Diceros bicornis minor: one gene and its partner. The protein of the gene in region 2 interacts with the protein of the main gene of each other region in a pairwise test. Links are inferred from orthologs where the notes say so. Each region holds a gene or a part of one and is shown on either strand. Other genes may lie near its edges.

Evidence for each region.
Region 1: the proteins of TEX11 (region 2) and TSC22D4 interact in a two-hybrid assay, tested with the Homo sapiens proteins (2 studies listed by BioGRID and IntAct). The two-hybrid records come from large-scale screens. The link is inferred for Diceros bicornis minor from reciprocal best matches to the Homo sapiens genes TEX11 and TSC22D4.

The regions. Positions count from the first base shown.
Region 1 is NC_080765.1:5,317,252-5,324,405, forward strand, and holds the start of TSC22D4 (TSC22 domain family protein 4), read left to right. Parts: upstream 1-4,151; 5' UTR 4,152-4,349; coding exon 4,350-5,111; intron 5,112-7,154.
Region 2 is NC_080781.1:64,217,801-64,225,004, forward strand, and holds the start of TEX11 (testis-expressed protein 11), read right to left. Parts: upstream 3,014-7,204; 5' UTR 2,965-3,013; exon of another isoform or gene 2,949-2,964; intron 2,927-2,948; exon of another isoform or gene 2,805-2,926; intron 2,463-2,804; exon of another isoform or gene 2,252-2,462; 5' UTR 2,231-2,251; coding exon 2,194-2,230; intron 1-2,193. UniProt on the Homo sapiens protein: Regulator of crossing-over during meiosis. Involved in initiation and/or maintenance of chromosome synapsis and formation of crossovers.

The sequences.
Region 1 (7,154 bases), on a different chromosome or scaffold from region 2:
ACCCTTCCACACCCTCCAAGGACGGAGCTGGAGCGGCCGCGTTGTGCTGCGCCGCCAGGCTGGGGTGGGGGGCACGAGGGCCGCGGAGCCCCCAGGGGGACTCGGAGAAAGATCGTGGGGCGCGGGGGACCTGGCGCCAGTCCGCCCCCGCTTTGGGGCGTCCGCTCCTCGCCTCCCCTCGCCCCTGGCCCGGCCGGGCCGTGCTCGGTTCAGTGTCCAAGGCCCCGGCGGAGCGAAGCGGGGCGCAGCGTGCAGCGGCGCCCCCCAGCGGCAGCCGGGGGTCTGCACCGACGCGCGTACCCCGTGCGCCAGGCGCTCCCCGGGTGCGCACCCCGCGTCGGGCCGGGGCGAGGCTGCAGCTGCGGGGCCCCGAGTGCAGTGAGGTGGCGAGGCCGGCAGGGGGGGCCGCTTTCCGGGCCGAGGGGCTCTGAGTGGGAAGCCGGACCATCTGCGTCTCTACCCAGCAGGGGGCGTGCTCCCTTGGCCGCGCCCCGTCTTCCCGCCGCCCCCCACGTGCGGGGAGGGCACGGGAGCTGGCTCGCTTGGTACCCGTCGCTTATCCCTGCAGCCTCGCAGGCGCCCGGACCTTGTTTCACCGCCTGGGCTCAAAGTCTTCCACCCGTCCGTCCCCGCCGCCCAAGTCACCCTCCCACTAACCTTTGACTCCGCTGGCGGCGCCTGCCGAGACCTGGGCGCCCCGGGGTCGGCCTCTCACTGGGACCACCGCGGCCACGGCCCAGGTGCGGTCGCGGCGGCCGCGGAGGGTCGCGACCTCGCCCCCCGCCTCGCATCACCTTTCTCATCGGCTCCCTGAGAAATTCTCCCTTGGAAATCTCTTTGCCGCACAATAGCTGCAAGACTTCGGTTCTACCCTTAACTGGCTGAAAAATGGACCCCCATAAAATATCCACGCCCTAATCCCTGGAACCTGTGAATGTTACTTTATATGGCAAAGTCTTTGCTGATGTGCTGTGCAGCTTTGGGCAAATGGCACAGCCCCTCTGAGAGATGCCTCATCTCATACCTACCTCAATAAAGTGGTTGGGAGGCAGCAAAATAATGACTACCAAGAGCTTTGTAAATCGTAAAGGGCCCCACACATTAAAGGGCTGTTATAAATGCCTCCAGGGGAGGAAAAACAATAAAATACATACCAGTCCTTTCACATTTACGCCTTAGTGTGAATGAATTTTTATTTATTCATTCAACAAGCATGTCCACAGAGACCAACAACGTCCCAGCGACTGCAGACATGGAGGAGTCCAAGTTGATGCTGAGCGTCTGAGCTGGTGGGAAGGGGAGGGTCCCAAGATAAGTTTTGAATAGTTCGTAGCAAGTCTGCGCTGAAGGATCCCGGGCGGAGCACAGGGCTCTGTTCTGAATATTGCCAGAGAGGAGGGGGTTGGAGGGGGAGTTGTGTGGGAGGCTACTTCAGCTGCTTCCTGGACCTCACGCCTTGGGAGGCCTCAGGACTTGGCTATGGTAGCCATTGTCTCCATGAAGGGAGAGAGGCAGGAGTAGAGACGCATTTTAACAAAGAGATAAAGAATAAATATATAAACGTGGGGCAAAGGATTTTGCATCATTTTGTTTTTGCTTAACCCTAAAGAGTGATTAAAAATTTTCATGAGGGTCCAGCTCCCTGCAGTAGTGGTTAAGTTCTGCACATTCCCCACAGGTTCGGATCCCGGTTGCCGACCTACACCACTTGTCAGCCACACTGTGGCAGCAACCCACACATAAAGTAGAGGAAGATTGGCACAGATGTTAGCTCAGGGCTAATCTTACCTAGCAAAAAAAACCCCAAAAAAACAAAAAAAAAATTTCCATGAGCCAAAGCTGAGGAAGGAGGGATGTGTCAGAGCCCAGCACTGGTCTCAACGCCATCCAACACCTGCTCTGAGGCCTTGAGCAAATAATGCCTGTAAGCCTCAGTTTCCTTAGCGGAAACACTAGCTCAAAACCCACCCCACTTCTGCCCAGGGCTGTTTTGAGAATCCATGAGATAACCATGTGAAGTGGACAAATACGAGGAATTTTTAATATGCTCTAGACCCGTTCCATTTGACCCAAATTAATTACACTCCATTTCCTTCTGAACCTGGGAGTGAGGGCAGATGTGGCCATTAGACATGGCTCTTGCTAAAATAACTCCTTTTAGAATGTTGGTTGGGGGAGCCAAAAAAGAGAAAATGGCAGTTTATTCTTTCATGCCAAGCACATAGTAGGCCCTTTATGAGTGTGTGTGGACTCACCAGAGTGAGGGAGGGACGGGATGGGAAAGGCAGGAAGGGTGAGAGGTAGGGAGGGGCCCATGCTGGTGGCCAGCTGGGTTCGTCATCCTCAGCCACATGTGTGTTGGGTGACTGCGTGTACATACATATGTGTGACCAGCGGTTGGAAAGAAAGTGCCAGTCAGCACCTTCTCGAGAGTGTCTTCATTGTCTCTCTGTTTGGGGGCCAGACAAGAACACCTCTGACTGTATGAAATGTCCCTGCGCCACCACTGACAGCTTTTCTGAACCTCCTGGGTGTCAATTTCCACATCTAAGAAGGGGAATACTATGATGTCTGGGATGTGATTCAAATACTCCAGCACAAAACAACAAAAGATATTGGGGGGCAGATGAAACAAGACTGGCTGTGAGTTGATAACTGTCGACACTACTCTCTCTACTTTGGGGCATGTTTGAAAATTGTCATAATAATCCACTTTTTAAAATCAGGACAGGGGAGAATAACCTTCCTCGTACAGTTACTGTGAGAACCAGCGAAGACATGACACTAACAGCTGCAGCAGCACCGTAACATTTACTGGGCGCTTACGGGGCGGCAGGCGCCCAGCAGAGCTCCGGCTAAGCTCCTTCCCACTCCTGGGTGTCTGTAGGCCAATGGCAGCGAGCGCCTACAAGTAAGGGAATCCCTGGCCTCGCTCAAACTCCTCCCCTTTCTCTCCGCCCTCCACAGCCCCTCCCTCCGAGGAAGAGCTGGGCTAGGGCCCAGCAGGTGTGGGGTTAAGGCAGCTCGGTCGGGGCCCCAGGAGCCGCAGCAGCCGCAGCAACTGCACCAGCAGCGGCGGTGGCAGGCCTGGCCCCGGGCCAGCTGGCCGGGAGCCCCAGGAGGAGAGGGGGCGGAGGAAGAGGGGAAGGAGGAGGAGGAGGAGGAGAGGAGCAGTCAGCAGGCCCGAGGAGGCAGGACTTCCTGGTGTGGGGGTTGTCAACAGCCCAGAAAGAGAAAGACAGAGACAGAACTGAGAGGAGCTGAGGAGCCGAGAGAGACCCAGCAAGGCCACGCGGGAGGAGACTTGGGAGACCCACTCGCCCCGACCACCGAGGCGGCTCCACCTGGAGGAGCGGGGGGCTGAGCCGCCCCCTCCCGCATCGGTCCGGAGACCCTTGGGGCTTCAGAGGCCGCGCTTGGACTCCACCAAGGAGGCGGGGGTTCCTTCTTTACTGGAGGGCAAACTTTTCACGGAGATGCCTTGCGGGGCGAGGTGCTGCCCCTGAAGAGGACCGGACAGCCTCTGGTCGCCACCTGCGCGCCCCGCGCTGCTGGGGCCGGGAGGCCCCAGGAAAAGGACAGCCGGACGTCTTAGGCAGCCGGAACCCCCGGCCCAGCTCGGTGGCCGAAGCCGAGAGGTAGGGCTCTGGGCTGGGCGGGGCGCTGGGCCGGAGGGGCAGGGCCTGCCCCAGGGATGGGGGAGCTGGGGTGCCGGGCCTCGAGGCTCAGCAGAGGCCTCCCGGTGGCCGGGCCAGGCCGAGGAGCTGCTTCACCCCCGTTCCCCCAGGCCCTGGAGCCCTTGCCCTTGGGACGACTCGGTCCCGTGAGTTTGAATCCCAGGCGAGAAATGCCCAACTTTGGGTCTGGGCTGCCTCTTCCTGCTCTGTGCGCGCGCTCGGATCCGTCCCGTCTGCCCTGGTCTCTGTCGTCTCTGGCTGTCTCTTTGTCTCTGGGTCTCTGGCGGTTTCCCCTTCCTCCCCCATCCTGCTCCCCAGAGAGGAAGCCCCGGAGGTGGCCTGCCCACTGCTTTCTCACACATACACACTCTCTCTCTTTTTCCAGTTTGCAAACTCAGCTCTGGAGTTCGGCAGCGACAGCAGCAGGAAAAACCTGCCCCTGCCGGGCCCCCCCCACCCCCGCTCCTGCCACCACCCCTACCCTGTTCTCCCTTCACCAACCAGGCACCCCCAGTTCCCCGCAAGGCCCTCCTGCCATGTCGGACCCAGACGGCCCCAGGGGCCCTGATGTACCCGCCATGTGGCCCCCCTGTTCCAGGGGCGCCTGAGCCCCTTCGAAGATCCACCACTGCCCCCCTGCCCACCTTGGCCTAGTCCTGAGCCCCAAGGACCATGAGTGGGGGCAAGAAGAAGAGTAGTTTCCAAATCACCAGCGTCACCACGGACTACGACGGCCCAGGGAGCCCAGGGGATCCAGATCCCCCTACCCCGCCGGCCCCCACCGGGCCCTCGCCCCGCCTGCCCAATGGGGAGCCCAACCCTGAGCCGGGGGGCAAGGGCACCCCCCGGAATGGCTCCCCGCCGCCTGGGGCCCCAGCCTCCCGTTTCCGGGTGGTGAAGCTGCCCCACGGCCTGGGAGAGCCTTATCGCCGAGGCCGTTGGACGTGTGTGGATGTTTACGAGAGAGACCTGGAGCCCCCTAGTTTTGGCAGGCTCCTGGAGGGAATTCGAGGGGCCTCGGGGGGTACCGGGGGCAGATCTTTGGATTCCAGGTTGGAGCTGGCCAGCTTGGGCCTGGGCGCCCCTACCCCACAGCCAAGCCTGTCTCAGGGCCCCACCTCCTGGCTCCGCCCGCCTCCCACCTCCCCTGGACCTCAGGCCCGTTCCTTCACTGGGGGGCTGGGCCAGCTGGCGGTGCCTGGCAAGGCCAAGGGGGAGACACCCCCCATGTCAGCCTCCCCACCGCAGCAGCACCCCCCAGAGCCTGGGACTGGGGATAGCATGGGGCCGCCCAGTGCCGCCACGCCCCTGCCCTCCCTGAGGGTGGAAGTGGAGGCTGGGGGCTCAGCAGCCGTGACCCCTCCACTGTCCCGAACGAAGGATGGAGCCCTGCGGCTGAGGACGGAGTTGGTTCCTCCAGAGGAGATGGGGCAGGTAAGAGCTGGGTTCCAGAGTCGGGGAGACACCTGAGGGGTGGTGCGTCTCAGCCTTGGCCTAACCTCCAGCCTGGGCCTCCTTGCCTCCACCTCCATACCACTTTCTCCTCACTTCATCAGCACCTGTCTGTCAGATCAGATAGCCTCTCATTTTTTTTCCTGCCATCTCACTTGGAAGTCCATTCTTCCTCCTCTCACTGCCTTTGTTTTCTCTCTCAGGCTCCCTCTTCCCCACATTCTGCACCTTCTTTCTTTCTTTTTGGCCTGTCATTTGTTGCCTTTGGCCCAAGTCGCCATCTCCATATAGCGTAGTCCCATCTCTCCATCACAGGGATGTGGCCTCCCCATGCTGGCCTTCACCTTCTGTCTTGGTCTCACCCCTTCTGGCTTCAGGCGTTGAGGGTGGAGGCCCCAGGCAGGGCTGGGTGGTTGGGCCTCTGGGAGAGGAGCTGCCAAGGTTGGCAGGGCAGGTTAACAAGTAGGCATTCTGTTCTAAGTCTGTCCTTTGTAGCCCCATTCCAAAGGTGGGGGTCTTCTTTTTCCCACTACACACCCATCCCAGCCCCGTCTTCAGCTTTGTCTTAAGCCAAATTTTTCCGAGGACCTGAGGAATTGGGTGGGGGGCCCGTTACAAGGATGGGGGCCTTGCTGGTATGTCCTTTCCACCCCCGGTTGTCTGTCTCAGTTCCCTGCATCTGGGCCTCTCCAGGATCGATAACTAGGGGTGGCCACCATGGAGTGGGAGAGGTGGGAAGCAGCTGAGAAAGAGTTAAATCCTTTGCTCTCTCTGCTTCCTGTCTCCAAAAGAGGAACAAGTCTGGGCTGGGGGGCAGGATGCCTGGGTCCCTGGGGTGGGGGGTGGGCAGCGAGGAATGTGGGGGTTGGATGTGTCTGTCCTGAAGGAGAAAATAACACCTTGAGCTGCAGGAGGAAAGTCAGGGAGTGTGAGGATGAGAGCTTTTCCCCTTCCTGGCCTTGGGCACAGACCACAGTATAAAAATAGCCTGAGACTGGGTGTCTGGGCCCTGTCAGGACCGGTCAGGACTGGCTCCCCCCCACCCCTTCTGGCCGCAAGCTCACATCTCTCGTGCTCCCCTCACCCCTACTTTTCTTGAGTTTTTTTTTGAGCTCTTTCATTCAGTTCCTACCCCAGGGGAGAAGACGCTGTTTCCTTTACTGGTCCCTGTCCCCACACTCTTCCAAAGCAGGCCCCCTTCGCCCCAGCCTCTGTCTGTCCTTAACCCCTGCCTGAGCTTCCCTTGGGCCCGCTGACCCTGCCCCTCTCCCTTCAGTGCCCCCAGCCCCTTTGCTTCCCCTGCATCCTGATCCCTTCCTGTGTGCCTGCATCTGTGCTGCTGCTTCCCTGCCCAGAAGTCCGTCTCCCTTCCACACTCCCCCATGCCACCTGGGCCCCCTTCCTCTGCTCTGTCCCTCTAACCACCCTGGACTCAGTTCTTGGCTTTTCCGAGAAGCTGGGGCCTCCTGGGGCCTCACAGAGGCGTCTTGTTCCTGTGGCCCCCGCCCTTTTGCAGCCACCCCCAGCGCCTGTTGGACTGTGTGGGTCCACACCCAGGCTCCGCCTCCCCCCATCTCTGCAACCACTCCCCCCCACCCCCAAGGAGGGAGCAAGCGCAGGAGCAGAACTTCACCTGAGACCGAGAAGTTTGAGAGGAGAGGCTAGAATGGGAGGTGGGGGGGTGGGGGGCGTGGAGGACCAGTTTCTGAGGATTCATTCATTCTACAAATAGCTATTGAATAAACTAAGCTCTGCCCTCTGGAGCTTACCTTCTAGCAGCGGAGAGACAAAAATACTTTAATTTCCTATAATATTAGGTGCTATAAAAAAATAGAACAGTTCGGGGGAATCCACTACTAGAATGATGGGGAAATGCCTCTCTGAGGAAGTGACATTTGACTTGCTTTAAGAAGCCAAGTGACAGAAGGCAGACACTCTCTGACTAGCCTCTGATTAGGGGTCCTGGTTCAGCTGGCAGAAGATGCTGGAGTGCAGACCAGAGCCCCTCTCTGATACCCCGTGAGC
Region 2 (7,204 bases):
AATGGCCAATAAATCTATGAAAATACACTCAACTTTACTAGTTATCAGGGAAATGCAAATTAAAACAACACCTATGTAAGATGATAACATTAGGGTAAATGAAACTGGCTGAGGGGTATATGGGTACTCTCTGCAATATCTTTGCAACTTTTCTGTAAATCTAAAATTATTCCAAAATAAAACGTTAATTAAAAACAACAATACCCTTCACATCTACAAAATTTTTTGTCTGATAATACCAAATATTAGCAAGGATATAGGGAAAAGAGAAAGAGAGAGGGAATATTAATTGTTAAACTACTTTGGACAGCAATTGGACAATACTTATAAAGTTAAAGATGCTCATAGCTTTTGACCCATCAGTTCCACTCCTAAATGTATATACCCTGGAACAGCACTGCCACTAGAGGGTAGCCACTAGCCACATGTGACTACTGAGCACCTGAAATGTGGCAAGTCCAAAATGAGATATGCTTTAAGTATAAATAAAATACATACTGGACTTCAAACACTTTGTAAGAAAAAAAAGAATGTAAAATATGTCATTAATAATTTTTGTATTGATTACATGTTGAAATGATAACATTTTGGATATACTAAGCTAAATAATTTGTAATGTTAAAATTAATTTCATCTGTTTAAGCTTTTGTTAATGTGGTTACTCGAAAATATAAAATTATTTGTGTTTGCACTATGGTTCAATGGGACAGTACTGCCCTAGATCCTCACCCACTAGTGCTCAAGAAATAAATCAATTTAGTTGGTCATAACCAGCATTTTTTAATTAAAAAGCATAGAATAGAAAACATCATAGTGCACTGCGTGTAATAAGGGTAAGACTGTTTCAAACTTTTGCTATGGTGTGTATGTACTGGGATGTGATGTAAAATATATTTCCTTGCCATGAGTGGTAGTCAGAAATGCTTGAAAGCTCCTGCTAAGCTCTTGGAAACACAATGTTCATTGTAGTGTTGTTGTTATGTAACAGCAAATATTTAAAACAACTCATATGTTAAAACAACATATTTGAAACAACAACAAAGGAGATTGGATAAATAAATTGTACTTCTATTCAACGTAATAGTTCTAATCAGCAGGGCAAATAAATGAACTAGAGCTAAAATATCCATATGGGTAAATATCCAAAACATAATGCTGAGCAAAAAAAGGCAAGTTACAGAAAAAAATCATACAAAATGATACAATTTATGTAAAATTTTCAAAGATGACTAACCGGTGCATCTAATCTTCTAGTTCTTTGAAACAATGAAATACCTGAAGCATATGACAAACTGTTAAGATTCAACAAAACTTACTGGTAGGTATACAGGTGTTCATTATATTATTTTCTATACTTTTCTGTGTGCTTCAAATATTATATAAATACAAGGGCTCAAATACAATATACTTAAAAGTCATAATCCTTATTCCATGTTTATATCTTTAAGATACCATATCCTAAATTAAAACATAAGGTAAGAGGTAGTGGGCTTTGTTGCTGTTGTGCTAAAATGACAAGAATTAACAAAATATTGACCTAAACATTTTTAAATCATGGATTTGTAGCCACCCTGGCTACACATATGTCATTATTATATGAATAACGTGAAATATATATGAATGTGAATATATGAATGTGAATGTATCACAGGTCTAATCATGTACCCAGAAAAAAAGAAATAGTGTAAACATTCCCATATCTGGCACGGTTGAGGAATCTCTTGTTCTAGTCAAATTGCTTTTATTAACAATTACCATAAATACCATACAGAGATTACCAATTTTCAAAAGAATTAAGATACAATAAAATGCAGTTAAACCTAAAACTATACAGGATATAATTTATTTTTCACTGATGATTTTGGAAAGGCACTCCAGGATCTTGCAGTAATTTTTTTAATGTACATTTAACGCAGTAGATTTCTATTTCAGATTAAACCAATGTTAATTTGCATGCAATAAAAATCCTGAGAAAACAAGCTATGAATTGTGAATTCAGTTTCCCTACACTAGCATATAAAAGGGTTCCAGTGTCTTAAACATCTACATTGTTTTTCTGGTACACAAATAAGAAAACTTGGAGCTATGGATACTCCAAAGAGATAAAATTCAGAAACAAAATACATTTAGAAGATTTTAGATAAGGCAGCAAACAGTTTGACATTTTCTTTACTACCATGTAAAGCTATATACCTTTAAAGTCCATGAAACGAAAATCAACATCGTCCATTTTTAAATCTCTGGCTCAAGCCTATGAAATAAAAAAAAATTTTAATCTTCTGTCCTTTATCCTCCAGTTCCTCAATAAATTTCTTTTCAGTGAAATTTTTCCAGTTACCTGTTACCCAAAGGAAAAAAAATGCTGAAGAAATTTTAAAACTCAGAAAAAGTAGTTAACGAGGGGTGGGGCCAGGAGTCATGTCACAGGAATCTGGCTCGGAGGAAATTTTCATCCCAAATCTTTTCTTACCATAATCCGCCTGGCAACCAGGAAACCAGGGTACCCTGTGATTTGTCTGGCTGGTACTCGTTGCCTCCTCCTAATTGGTTCAAAATCCCTCTCTCCACCGCCCATACATTCAAAGCACCCAATCACTCACTGGCCTTTTTCCCGCTCTCACAGACCCAGCTAGCGCGCCTTCAGCTCCCCGCCCCCAACAGTCACCAACCATACGGCTTCAACGGAATGTAGGTCCTTCACATCCAAACTACAATAACTACTGTCTCCCGCTTTCAATGACCCCACAATGCGCCCCATACTTCATCCAAGTCAAAAAATCCTGCCTCTGCCCATCTTCTTTCACCTGAGAGTCAGCTACAGCAGCTCTGTGGTTCAAAATCATTGCCTCAGGGCCACTCTAAAAAGTGTTGACCTAATGGCCGCATCTTCTTGCTAGTTATAAACCACTCAACTGACCCGTACCTGACCCTCCTCTAGCCCTTCCTACCTACTAAATCAGTCACCTCAGCCGGGACCGCCAACGTGCCACAGTGCTGTCTCCACAAACTCCGTCCACAGTGCCCGACGACGCTTGGAAAGCTCCTCCCCCTACAGTGACGTCAATCAAAGACCACTTCCTATTGGCCTTTACTGTCTATCTCACATCGCGAGCCTAAGCCTTGGGGCGCAGTCTAGGCCTTCAATCCTGGGGATTAGTTCAGAGGGCAGGGGTGAGAATCACTGAGCGTAAGGAAGTATGGTGCAGTACTGGAAGCATACTACAATTATTGAGGGAAGAGTGCAGATGGCCAGGGTTATGGGAAAGAGGAGAGCAGGCCTTCAAAAGAAAGAAAAGGGACGTAGGGACGAGGGAGAGGAAAGAGGAGAGGGGAGGGAGGGAGGAAGGAAGGAACAATGTTGCCCACTGATTAATCGTGAGTGGCGAAGGTCAGCAATATCAGAAGTTGAGGAAACTGAAAAACCCTGTAGTTCCAAGACATGTTTCTGCTGCCCTGTCCTTGTCAAATCCGAAGGAAACTAACTAATGACTCCTCTACAGGCTCACAGCAAGGGCAGGGGTCCCACCCATCTCCAAACAAATGGTTTTAGGGATGGGGATGGAATATGTAAGTAAACATGTTTGATTCCAGCTGAATCTATAGGTGATGCTTGCAATCAAGGAGTTGGCCTCTACTTTAAAGCTCCACTCAGAGACAACAGTGTTATGGCATGATGCCTCCAAATATGGAGAAGCACCAAAAACAAAAAACATTAACAAGCCTCCCACTTCTTCCCTCACATACCCCTCTTTTAAGCCTTATGCACCTCAGTCAAGTCAGCTAGGGAACTGGCTAACAGGATGAAGAAGAGAGATTGTGGCTTCAATTCTGGGAACATTAACAGAGTTCCCTTCTGACCCTAAGACTCAAAATCAGTGATTATTTATCATGGAAAAGATGGAGTTTCTAAAAATAATTTCTTTCCTTCTTCAAAATTTTCTGCATCTAGATCACATAGAGTGAAGAAAAAAGGGAAAACAGAGAAAGTACTGCTATTAACTTCTCTTCTTTTGCATCTTGCAATTTGGTATTCATTTCACAATCCTAGATTGCTAAATTAGAGGAAGAAGTCTGGTGGAAAAGGGCAGTAGAGTGTCCCATAGCTGACTGAATCCTCATGCACCGCATACTTTGTGACCTGGTGCTAGCTACTTAGAATCTCAGGACCTCAATTTCCTCTTCTGCAGAATGGGAATAAAAGTAGTTCTAGGCTTCTGGTTCAATAGAATAGTGTACATAAATCATCTAGAACAGTGGCTGGCATATAGTACATACTTAACAAATGTTAGTTCCCATTATCGTTCCCCATTTCCTGGTTGGCAAACTAAGGGCTCCCAACTTTCATCATCCCACCCAGGCCCCTGGCTCTACCATAACTTCTTTGTTCATGGATGAACAGATGAACAAATAGGGCGATAATTAGACCTCAGCTCTCAAGCCTGCAGTGGTCTCTTCACACACATCTTAGAGCTCTTAGTGATTAATAATGTCTGTAGTAGAATGGATATTATATTATCCAGGATTATATAAGGCATACAGAATCAAATGACTCTATTGATTAATACTGACTGTAAATATGACTCCAAAGTCAGAGCTACTGAGCAGGCACCACTGCATTGAAAGGGCCAGTGAATAAAGGAAAATATGCAGAAAGGGTGGAAACCCTTATGTTGTATGAGTATCTCCAATATTTTTGTTTTTGATCTAGATGGCCTCCCTAGATGCTATAAGAAAGAGAGAATTAAAAGGACAGAAAAAAAGTAAAAGAGAGAGAGAGAAGAGGAAAGGAGATAATAAAAGAAGCAGGTGCATATTGAGGAGGATATGCAAGAGTGAGTAGTAAAATGCCATTAAGAGGCATTCAAAATGCCGTAGATTATCTTCCCTTACCCTAGCATAAACTATAAATTTCCTGCTCCTACCTTTTGAAAAATTGAAGCAAAAATGGTGAAATAGTACATAAGGCTGGTGAACAGCTTGGAATCTAATGAGAGCTAATTAAGATTCTCATTAATAGAGTGGATTAAAAGAGAGTAAGCAACGAAGAATGCAAATTACTTAATAAGGTAGCATTATATCTTGTTAAAAGAACAAAAACACTTTCAGCATAAATATGCAATTATAGTCAGGAAAATTATAAAAACAAAAGCAATAATAGAGTAAGGGACAGGGGCTTGTTATACCAGACATTAAAACTACCGTAAATAAAATTGTGTGGTAATTGTACAGACAGATAAATGGAACAAAAGAGAGTCCAGAAACAGACCCAAATATATAGAGCAATGATTCAAATCACTGGGGAAAAGAGTTACTCACGAAAAAGTATTGAAACAACTGGATAGTCATTTTAAAAAATAAAACTAGATCCCTGCCTCACTTCACATACCAAAATAAATTCTAGATTAACCAAAGATTAAACTGAATCATAAAATTTCTAAAAGAAAATATGAGTGAATATTTTATAAACACAAAGGCAAAATATAAACACTATCTGAAAACCAGAATCAAAAAGGAAAACTAATGATGTTTTACAAGATTTTATTGCAACTTTTTTTACAAGAAATTATTGCAACTTTTCTGCATGGCAATTTGGCAATATGTATCAAAATCTTAAATGTGTGTACCCTGTTACCAGACAATTCCTCTTCTAGGAATTTTCCTAAAGAAGAAATTGGAAAAATTTGCGAAGACAGATTAACAGAAACATTCGCTGAAGCATTGTAAACCCCTTAAATGTTCACCTAGTTAAATGTGGCCTAGTTATACAACTTAGGGTACATTAGTACCAGATAGTGGAATACTTATACAGCCTTTAAAAACGTTGCTGAGAAAACAATCTAAAGGTATAAAGCTAGGGAAATGCCTATATCCTACCATTAAGTGTAAACAAGAAAAAAGTTAGCAACTACTCAAAAAGGTATAATTATATAGATTTGAGTGACTAAAAAACTCTTGGGATTGTTTCCACCTGGGTGTGAATAGGGAGCGACATAAGTGGCTACAGGAGCCAACTAATCCCACTAATACGTAATCGTAAAAAAAAAAGTTTATACAGAAGGTATACATTTATGTAAAATTGTATGCATATTTGAAAAAAAAGTCTGGAAGAATATTTACCAAAATATTTACAATGTTTATCTTTAAGTGGTAGGATTTGGGAAAATCTTTACTTTCCTCTTTATATTTTTCAGTTTCCTACAATGAACACATATTTTTATTAGGAGAAAAAAAGCTATTTTCATTAAAAAATCCACAAGAAGATGAGGGCGTTTTTATCTGATGGGCATGTGTTTTCTCAATAAAGTATGAGGCAAAGTCAATAGCAGGGAGTAGGAGGGAGAGATTTGAAGAATGTGAATAAGGTAAGAAACAGTTGTTTCAGAGAGCAGGGGAATCAGAGAGAAATGAGGATTTCCAGCAGTGTTGAGGGTTGATGATCATTAACCTGCCCAGTGGTGTGATTGCCTCCAACAATCCTGAACTACACAGGTGCAAGTATGGAGAAGATACTTGGATTCTCTGCTTTGTGGCGGGAATACTCTGGAGTATTGCCTAGGGAGGTGAAGATATTTGCAAGAGTGATAATGATAATAAATTCAGGAATTTAAGTGGGAAAGGGAGCAAGCAAAGATTGGAGGAAACTGATAAAAAGAGAGAAAGCATATGTAGGAGGGGGAAAGTGAATTGGAGGATTCATGAAGTCAAAGAATTGTTGCAGTGGGGTTACTTGAGCAAGTGAGCTGGGGAAGCTCAGGAAGTTGTGCGTAGAGAACTTGATGCTTGAATTAGTGATTTCAGAGGTGTAGATTCTGGCAAGATCTAGGGTATAACCATGTGACTGGGTAGCTGAGGTGTAATTCATTGAACCAAATCAGAACCACTCTCTCCTTCACATACTCTAACACTCTTACCCACACACTTCTCCTTCAGTTGTAGCCCTTAGAACTAATGGCTTTCAAGAGTCTGACTGGAATTTACTTTTCCTGCCTTATTTTTCCACTTCACCCCTTCAAAATCCTAGGCTCTGGGCAAACTGAATTATAAACTTTTCCGTCTTCTTGCCTTTGTACATAATGTTCCCTCCTCCTGTAATGCTCTCCTCCCGTTTGTGAAATTACACATTTTACTTAGCCTTTAAGCACCAGCTTAAAAGCCTCAACATCCAAGACTTCCCAGAACTCCCTGCCAGAACTCCCGCACGGGA